Linked DNA regions of Arabidopsis thaliana. The protein of the gene in region 2 interacts with the protein of the main gene of each other region in a pairwise test. Each region holds a gene or a part of one and is shown on either strand. Other genes may lie near its edges.

What was found.
Region 1: the proteins of AT5G67130 (region 2) and NRAMP3 interact in a protein complementation assay, tested with the Arabidopsis thaliana proteins (one large-scale study listed by BioGRID).

What each region holds. Positions count from the first base shown.
Region 1 is NC_003071.7:9,855,343-9,860,530, forward strand, and holds NRAMP3 (natural resistance-associated macrophage protein 3), read right to left. Parts: upstream 3,437-5,188; 5' UTR 3,224-3,436; coding exon 2,688-3,223; intron 2,247-2,687; coding exon 2,110-2,246; intron 2,018-2,109; coding exon 1,365-2,017; intron 1,284-1,364; coding exon 1,080-1,283; 3' UTR 807-1,079; downstream 1-806. UniProt on the Arabidopsis thaliana protein: Vacuolar metal transporter involved in intracellular metal homeostasis. Can transport iron (Fe), manganese (Mn) and cadmium (Cd). Regulates metal accumulation under Fe starvation.
Region 2 is NC_003076.8:26,789,552-26,794,507, reverse strand, and holds AT5G67130 (PLC-like phosphodiesterases superfamily protein), read right to left. Parts: upstream 3,210-4,956; 5' UTR 2,910-3,209; coding exon 2,805-2,909; intron 2,711-2,804; coding exon 2,588-2,710; intron 2,351-2,587; coding exon 2,213-2,350; intron 2,132-2,212; coding exon 2,033-2,131; intron 1,941-2,032; coding exon 1,637-1,940; intron 1,551-1,636; coding exon 1,327-1,550; intron 1,255-1,326; coding exon 1,168-1,254; intron 1,060-1,167; coding exon 859-1,059; 3' UTR 626-858; downstream 1-625. Other genes in the region: AT5G67140 (F-box/RNI-like superfamily protein), read left to right, coding at 1-13, 106-204, 284-499; AT5G67120 (RING/U-box superfamily protein), read left to right, coding at 4,771-4,956.

The DNA.
Region 1 (5,188 bases), on a different chromosome or scaffold from region 2:
TTTTCTTTGGGTCTACATGCTCAAACCTGCAAGGATTTGTTATTGGGATCCTTCCCAAAAGATCTCTTACTAGTTGGAGTTGGACTTGGCTTATATATTAGAAACTTATTTTCTAAACTTCAGATGTGGGACGTTGGTTTGTACCCAACAATCTCCCCTTCAAACCAAGGACCACGAACATGGGCGTCCCCTTCAGAGAAACCTTGGGACCATGACTCGACACCTTCTTATTTGTGAGGTTCTCTTGAGGTATCCTTCTTATCGTGTTACATGGTAGGCTTCTCCCACACCGATTATACAGTCCAAGCCCTAGGTCCATTTTTTTCAACCCACGTTCAACACCATTTATTAGGCTTTCCAAGCCCATTCCAACTCCCCTTTAGTATAATATTGTCCTTTTTGAATCTACATGCTCAAATCCGCAAGGATTTGTTATTGATCTCCTTCCCAAAATGTCTCTTACTAGTTGAAGTTGAACTTGCTTATATATGGGAAACTATTTTCTAAACTTCAAATGTGGGACGTTGGTTTGTACCCAAAACAAACCACTCCAAACAAGAGGGAAGACAAAGAGGCAATGAATGCCAAGATGAGCAAGACTGCACTTCCCAAAATACATTAACAAAAACATAGATGCCAATGTAATAGATCGGGACAAAGCCCTTAATAATATACCATATTAGAACAAGTAGATTTTGTGTTTATCTATGGAAATTTTGGTTCCATCATTTTACCTTGTGTATCGAATTTGCCCTGACTATATCCACAATATGTACTTTAAAGTATTTGAGAATCCTTGAAACTGTGAAACTCTGATCGGACGATTAAATGTACACTTTTGGGAATGTTCCCCAAAGTTTCTTTTGATCTGTGTCAACATTGGTTTAGATGTGAACATATTCTTATTAATTCTCGTCTCTGGGACCTAACTACTGATACATAGAAGAGCCTTCTTCAACAAAACCAGAGCTGCTTTATAACAACAACACATATAATACAAGAGAGAAAGCTAAGAACTCATGATCCTAAGGATTACAAGACATAGCTACTACGCTTACACTGTCTTGTTTGGTCCAGTCTCAATGACTAGACTCCGCTTTGAACGGCCAAGGAGTGAAAGTGATGCCACGAGCAATGAGGTAGAGGATGAATGCACCATAAGAAGCTGTGAACAGTGTCACAAAACCGGTATAGACTATGCCACTAACCTCATTGGAGAAGAACTCCAACAAAAGATAACCGTTGATCATTATCACGAGCGCAGCAACAAGCCACGCGATTGTCTGCACAACAAGGTGAGATCGAGCTTAATAAAGCGATCTTTAAAGAATGTTAGTAAAAGAGTTTGAACGAAATTGACAAACCTTGTACAAAGGACCAATCTTGAAGCTACCCATGATTTGTTCCTTGGAGACCAAACAAAGTAAGGGAATGAGTGCAAAGGGGATTTGAATGGACTGAAGCACGTTAAGCCACTCGTTTAAGACATCGAGTGTAGCTTCCGATGAATCAAACACTAGCGCAACGATAATAGTTGGAATGATAGCGCAGCTTCGTGTGATCAAAGCTCTCAACCATTTCTTCATTTTGAAATTAAGAAACCCGCCCATTATGAACTGTCCCGCATATGTACCGGTAATAGTGCTGCTTTGGCCAGCAGCTAATAGCCCGATCGCCCAAATGTATAGTATCGGGAACACACCGCCTCCATATTTCTCCTGAAGATACTGTCCCGCGTTAACCAAACCGATGCTATTGGCGAGGTCAGTATTATAAAACCCTTTGGCGAAAACAGTTGTGACAAACAGATTGATCAAAAAGGAGATGAAAAGAGCAATTGTGGATTCTATTGTGTAGTAGTTTAGCGCTTCTTGGACTCGGTATTTCTGTCGTTTATCGACTTCTCTAGATTGAACAAGAGCTGAGTGAAGAAACACATTGTGTGGCATTATAATGCAACCCACAACTCCAACTGCTTTCTGTATCGTTCTTGAACTCAGTTTCGGTACCAAAATCCCTGCAACAAGAGAAATCTAACTTCTTCAGAACTTAAAAAGTTAAAAGACTGTTCCATTAAGAAAATGATAAAGAGAAGAAAGAAAGCCTAACCAATGAGAAGCTCAGAGCCACTTGGCTTAGCTTGACCAAACATCCAAGCGAATGAGACTCCCATTGTAGCGATAAGAACTGCAAACACAGCCTCGAGCTTCCTTATTCCGTAGTTCTCAAGAAACAAGAAGACGAAACTGTGACCAAAACACATACATATGAATCAATGAGATACATAACACCAAAAACTCACACCGAAAGATGAAATTCCACGAGACATTAACACAGCTAATCAATTAACACATAATAATTTGAGCAATCCATAGAATAGATTAGCTAAATTACAATTAGAACCATAAACACTCACTAGAGTTTCCTGATTCCAACAAAAAGACCAAAACTTTGAGCAAAACACACATATGAATCAATGACCAAATGAGCACATAGTGACAAAAATTCATGTGTAAAGATGAAATTAACACAGCTAATGGTTAACTAACACCAAATTCAAACAATCCATAGATTAGATTAGCTAAACTGCTATTAGAACCATAAACCAAAAAGACAAAACTGGGACCAAACACAGACAAATGAAACAATAACACAAGAAGACACATGTCTAAAAATTGAGAATTTACCAATCAAGAGCAGTAATAACAACACCAGCCCAAAGAGGCAAAATCCCATTACTCAAAATCTTGATAGCAATAGCACTACCAATAACTTCTTGAATATCAGATCCAATCAAAGCCAATTCAGCCATAACCCACAAAACCATTCTTGCCCAAGTAGGATACTCATCACGACAAAGCTCAGCTAAGTGACGACCTGTCGCAACACCAAGCCTAGCCGACAAAAGCTGAACCAAAAGACCCATTGCTGTTGCCCACATGAGAAGCCATAACAAAGAGTACCCAGCAACCGCACCGGCTTGAAGATCTCCTTCGAGATTCCCTGGATCTAAAAACGCAATGCTCATTAAAAACCCAGGTCCGGTGAATAACCATAGCTTCTTCCATGAGAACGGTGGTGCGCCGCCGCATCCGACGCCGTGTTCTAGATCGTCCTCCTCTTCGTTTCTTACGATATGTACCTTCTCTGTTTCATCGTACGCTGTTTCTTCTTCTTCTTCCTCGTTGATTAGAAGTGGCTCGTTGTTCTCGAGTTGTGGCATTTTTTTTGGATTCTCTGTTTCAGTTTCGGGTTTTGTTGTTTTCGAGGTTTTAGTTTAACACGTTATTCTTACTTGCTTTTGCTTTTTATAGGGAAGTTCTGTTTCTCTTAGTACAAGATAAAGTATAAACACAAACTTTCAAAAGAATCTTAATCACTTTATATTTTTCTAATAATTTAGGGGGAAATAAGATAGGGTTTTATTTGGTGGAGGTAATTCGGATAATCACTCATAAACAAATAAATAAAATTTTGATGTGTAAATGGAATTTGGAAAAGTAAATTCAAATTTCTCTTTTCTAGTTTAGTTTTGTTTGTTTTTCTGGGACAGATTTTACATTTAATTCGCTTATTTACTTACGGACACATTTTTTCACTATCTTTTTTTTTTTAAATAGAGAATTTTTGTAGAATTTCTTTGGACTAATAATTAGGTTTATAATTTTATCGAGCGTTCATCAACATGTAGATTATATAGGAAGCTTCACACTTCACAGTGTTCATGCATCACGTATACCTTCGTTTGTGGCCTCGTGTGTTAAAAATAAAAATGTCTATCGTAGTCCATAGATATGTATAGTGTAAATAGAATCCTTTTCAAAATATTAAATAGATTCGATAAATTTATCATTTTTAGTATAATTAGATCATTTTTTGTGATAAAGTAACATGCGAAAATATTTGTTTTTAAACTTTGTTTTGCTTCAAACATGAATAAACTATATATAAACTGTTTGTTGAATTTATTAATATATTGTAACTAATGTTAAGATTTTTAATATAATTATTTATATTTCTGTCTTCTTAAAATATTTCTATACTATTTAGGAGTATTGTTTCCTCGAACAGTATATATCAAAATCAAAAAGCATGTATAGGGAATAAAAAAGCAAATAAAGAAATAAACAGGTGGTGTGTATCATGCGAAATAAATGGTCCACTTAGGTTGATGACCTGGCGAGATCGAAAGAACCATGGGGATGATGCCATGTCATGCAATAGTGGGAACCAAGCCTGATATTAAACATGGTTGGCTCGTGGATACACGTCTCTCACCTCCGATATTCTCTTCTTTTTTTTTTCTTGGTAAATTTGCAAAAGATATCCATCCTTTCACCAATTTTTTGTAAATTATTCTTTACACATAATTATAAAAAACAATCTTTTAGTGCAACTTCTATTGTCAACAACTATGTTAAAGTTACAAAGTTTAGAAATGGATGGCACATAGATTACAAATATAATGTTATATGGATATAGTATACCTTTTGTGCTAAATTATCTATTTAATTGTTCAAAGTACCTGAATTATAAGAGAAACAAAAAACAAGTACATATTTAATGTTTTCATTAAATGATAATAAAAGATATCTTATTAAAATATGTATATACTAGATTTTCACCCGCGGTATACCGCGGAGACAATTTATACTTTAAAATTAGTATATATAAAAGTTTACAATTTGTAACTATCTATGTAACTATCTATAAAATATTTTTATTTTCTAGTTAAGAATTGTTATTAAGTAACGTCCTGCCAAACCCGTTCCGCCAACCCGTCCCGTTTTATTTTATTAATGTTGATCTTATTTATCATATGTTTATGAATCATTTATTTTTAAAATTATCTAGTAATTAAATGCTATCAAATATCTCTACGGTTTGATGATTATAATTGAATTGTAATAGTCATGCAGAAAAACAATATCAATAATGATAATTTTGTAGTAATTAAATGATATTAAATATTTTGAAAGTTTTATTTTAGTAACCAATCGTGTAGTTAATGTAGAGAGATTTTAGGGAAATTGTTAAATATCAAATATTTAATTCGAAATTTTTTTTTCTAATTATCAAAAACAAATATTAAAATCCAGTGGCAACCATTGTAAATAAGTTTCAACTACAAGATTTATTTCACAAAATGGCTGCAAAAATGTATATATAGATATGTATAGTTAATGTT
Region 2 (4,956 bases):
TGTTGTTCAACTGGTAAAATCTAACACCGTTTTTTGTGCACTGGAATCTTGAAGATTCCTTTTTTGTTTTAATCATTTCAGAGAATCTTGATTTTGATTTGACAGATTTCAAGAACTTCCTCACTGCAACACCTAAACATAGGAGGAACATTTATAACCGATGAGTCTCTTTTCGCAATTGCAGAACGCTGCCATCAGCTTAAGGTAACAACAATCATCTAACCAAATAATTCTCTCTAGATTCATGAGAATCACGCTTTCGAAATTGGAATCCTTTATGCAGACAATCGGAATGTGGTGTTGCCGTCATGTGACAGAGAGAGGCCTTCTTGTTCTTGTAAACAAATGCAGAAAACTCGAATCCATCAACTTATGGGGAACTAGAGTTCCTGTAGATTGCTTCATTGCTTTACTTACCATCAGTCCTGCTCTTCAGATCAAACCCATGGAATTGCTTCTCAATGCTCAGAATCCACCACCGTTGCTGCATGCTGTCTAGTGTTGCTCATCATATTTCTTGTTTGTTGTGTACATAGTAATTCATACAATTGAATCTGCATATATCTTATGTGTTCTCTCATCAATCAACAACATATATATATAAATATTCAGTAAAGTTTCTATTGGAGTAGAATTGTGTCTATATATATATATATATAAGTTGCATAACAATCAACAGAAGCTGAAGACACACATACACAAGATTTCTGCCTATAGCTCTGCAGTCTACAATACAAGAATCAAATCAGAAACTCTTTCTAAGGCAATTCATGTCAACTTAGGCTCTCTCATTCGTTCTAAAGAAGTGATCAAGATTCTCTAACCTAAGAATCTCTCCACGTGGTTTGATTGGTTGTGTCATAGTAGAAATATCAGCAACGGAAGCAATGAGAAGCAGAAGACAACAATGTTGTTTAGTTGGGCCACAGAAGCTAAAGATCTTGAGAACTGAACTGAACCTGAGTAGCTTCCACCTGAGTTGCTTCCAGCCGTTGAATCCATGCTTGGAGTTCTTGTCTGTACAGTAACATTTTTGCATGAACCATAAGCTGCTCCTGGCTGCAACATCAAGAACCAAAATACGGGTGCCGGTTTTAGATAATTTAGGCTTGTAAGATCTTATTTCATACCCATAAGTAACTTTGGCGCGAGTTAATAAGTTAATACCTGGCAAGCAGAAAGAGTTTCACAACCGCAAAGTACCGGTCCATTCATTCTATCCAGAATTTCGAAAACGCCGCCTCCATCACTTCTCTGCAATATTATGGTTTGTTAGCTAGATCTCGTAAAAACAGTCATATTATAGTTATATGATTGATTCAGTACCATGTAGAAGTTAACAGCAAGAAAGTTTGGCATTCTATTCCCTCCTGACTTGAGACAAGTCCCAACCATCTCAGCAAGTGGAGCTGAGTGCTCCTTGCAAGCGTCTTTCTCAACCGGATATGTCGGGAAGTAATTCATCAAGAATAGCGAAGAACTTTTTGAATTTAAAGGTTGAGACTCTTTTCTGTTAGGACAAGAACCTCGCTTCACTCCGGGATCCCCAGCTTTAGACAATCATAAGAAAATGGCAAGAGAAGGTTATTCTCAGAGACAATTTTCATTAAAGATATAAACTGTGTGTAATACGCACATTCATTTTCAACCATGTATCTCCACTGATACGCAACGCCTTCTTCATCTTCTTTGGCAGCAACAGAAGTGAAAACCAGGAGCCTATGATTCTCTTGCACCATGTCAGTCACAGTAGGCCAATCTTCTCCCTTTCTAGGCATTTTCGAAACAGGGAACCAGTATTTGTCCAAACCAGCGTTGGCAAACAGTGTTGATAAGCCTTTAGGTCTGTGCACATAATCCTCTATTATGATGGTAACAATCTCTGTTGGGTTTTGACTCAGAAATGCCTCAACTTCCCTCAGTATGTTAATTGCAGGTTGCTGATTCAAAAAGAAAACAAAGTTCACATTTACCAATCCAATCAGGTTTCAAGCTTTCGATCCAGCAAGGTTAAGCTGAAGATAAAACTTACAAAAGCGGTGAAGTTGAAACATTGCCCTCGAAGCGAATGGCAAAGCCAGATATCATTGTTGAAGTCATACATATCCAGCATTAGCCCTCTAACTCCATTCTAGAACAAAAATATACATTCAAGAGTTTTATCCAAAAAAAGAGGAAACTATAATAAGAGAGTTGGTAATAAGAGCATTACTTGTAGCTGATTAGTAATAGTATCTTCTTGATTGTAAAATGTAATCCTCTCAACACCTGGCAAAAGTGGTGCATTTGCATTGCTAAAGGCATTATGAGTCATCAACCATGTATACTTGTTAAAAGGCAATCCATTGATCTACAAAAAACACACACACAAATTTCATCACCACATCTTCAAAGTTCAAAACTTTTGATACAACCAAATGATCTAGACTATCTTTTAATGCAACCAAATGAAATCTTCAGCAAAACCCATCTTCAAAGTTCAAAACTTTTGATAGACCAAGTGATCTAGACTATCTTTTGAAACAACGCATCTTCAAAAATTGGAAACTCTAGAGAAATCCAACTAATTATAGGAACTAAATCTCACAATGGAAGTTGGACTTGTGGCTTGGCCTCTTGTGCAGACGGGTTTACTTCTTCCAACGGCAGGACAGTCTCCACAGTATAAACCAGAGACACAATCAGTAGCCGAGGAGCATGAATCCAGCAGCTGAAAGAGACACAAAAATGCAAAATCCCTAAAGATTTAGACCCAAATTTGATAGCCATAAACCAGAGAATAATAAGCAAAGAGAATCAAGAACCTGGCAATTTCCATTGGAGCAAGCTGAGGAAAAAGAGAAAGAAAGAAGAAGAAGAAGAAGAGAGACAGTCACGGCTCTGCATAAGCCATTGATGCACGCCGACATCGCTCCGTAGCTTATGCAGAGATAGAGAGAGAGATATGAATGATGTTGGATCTACTTGGGGGGGTTTTCAAAGACGAGACAAAGAGATGTTTAGGTACTAAAACCCGGGCTTCATCGATTTGTTTTGTTAATCCTTGAAAGAGAGGTACAAAAGAAAAAGATTAGCTTTGGTTTTCTTTTTCTAAGACAAGGTTGAATCTTTTTCCCACCTAGCTCCTAGAGAGAAAATGAAGAAACGATTAGTAAAGAAGATAAACCACCTTTCAAAAGGAGTTCAATTTTGAGCATAATACAGTTTAACATTATAATAACATAACTCAAAACTACAGTTTCTAGTCTTGTACACCAAACATATGGAGTGACATTTTTGTCAAGATTTATGGAAACAGTGATCTTGTAAGAGTTTATCAATATAAGTAATAATGGTTTTATATTATTTCTTCTAGTTGTTAGGTGAGGTCTATCATAAAAAAAAAAAAAATTATTTCACAGATCACTATTTTCATTCTCTAAAATTTGCTCAGTTATAAGATTTTTTCACCTATTATTAGATGAAGATATCTTTTTTCTATTATGGTTAACGGTGCTCACATGCGTGGGGACACTCTTGTCTTGTTGCTTGTCTCTTTGCTTCTTTCAATGAAAAATGTTACAATTTTCATCATCTTACAAAAATTACTCAAACATCTAGGTGAAATTTTATTCTTAACGAGATTTATCATACCATGCCTATTTCATCTGCAGATTCGTCAGCAAGTGACGTATCGAATTAGTGACACTCTTAACGATCAAATGATTAATTTCCATTAAACCAAAAAAAAAAATGATTGATTTCCATAACCGATTTATTCACAATTGGTGATTTAACACACAAGTTGCTGTAATATACTCTTGATGTGTTTTTAACTTGAGATTTTTTTTTTAATACACAAAAAAAAAAAAAAACTTTTGTAGTTTGGACATTTACGTCCATTGAGTATGACGTCGTCGTCGTGTAAATTCTCTCTCTGCCTCTCGCTATAACGCTAGGCCCATTTACGTATTTTACTGAGCCTTTTTAGTTGGACCCAAACTCTCTCTTTTTAAGCCCATGACCCAAGTAATGTAATTAATCATCTTGTGAACTTGTAAATGAGGAAAACAAGATGCATATCTCCGGTTTAAAAAGCGTTTTAATGACGTTGAAAGCAAATATACAAAGCCAAAACATAAAATTTCCTTCCTTTTTTTGTTGAAAGCAACATTTATTATTTTTTGTACTTATTCACTCTAAAATGATATTTTTCCATTGAAGAAAATTCAATAAAGAAATGTTTTTCTATAAAAAACCAATTCAACTGTATTAGAGCTATAATTAAAACAGAATCCTTATTTTCAATAAAATAAATCTTCCGAATCCAGCTAAAGTTCCATTTTTATTAGCTGTCACAATTTTTTTAATTGAATTTTTAACATTTTGGGACTTCAAACTACCCAACAATTGTAAATCAGTGGTCTTTTTCTCCTTGAACTTTTTTTTGGTATAAACCTTTTTTCCTTAAAGTTGCTAAATCCTTTTATCCATGGAGGCACTGAAAAGTGGGTTATATGCATTATTTATCGTTTAAGCCTTAATTTGGTATATATATTTTTCCTTTAACTGAGCTACAATATATTTAGTGGTTTTTCTTTGTTCATAACGTCTTTATTTTTTCTATTACTTTATCAATATTAAGACTATCCTGTCCACTCAAGTATTTGCATTTGAATGGAAGAGTTAAATGGTGATGATACTTGAAAGTGTTAATTATCTATATAAATTCAGCTTAATCTAGCCCCTTGAAAAAAAATTTTGAGTCAGGTAATATGTTTCTCCAAAAGTATGGATCCAAACGAAGACAATTCTGAGATACCGGATAGTCCTTTTAGCTTCATGTGGCTACTATTTGGAGACGACTGGGATCTATGGGACACTTACTCACCAGTTGATGCTGATGACATCTCACCAGATCCAACGCTTGATGTGAACGGTGATGGTCCGGCAATAGAGCCCGGTTCCCTTCTGAGG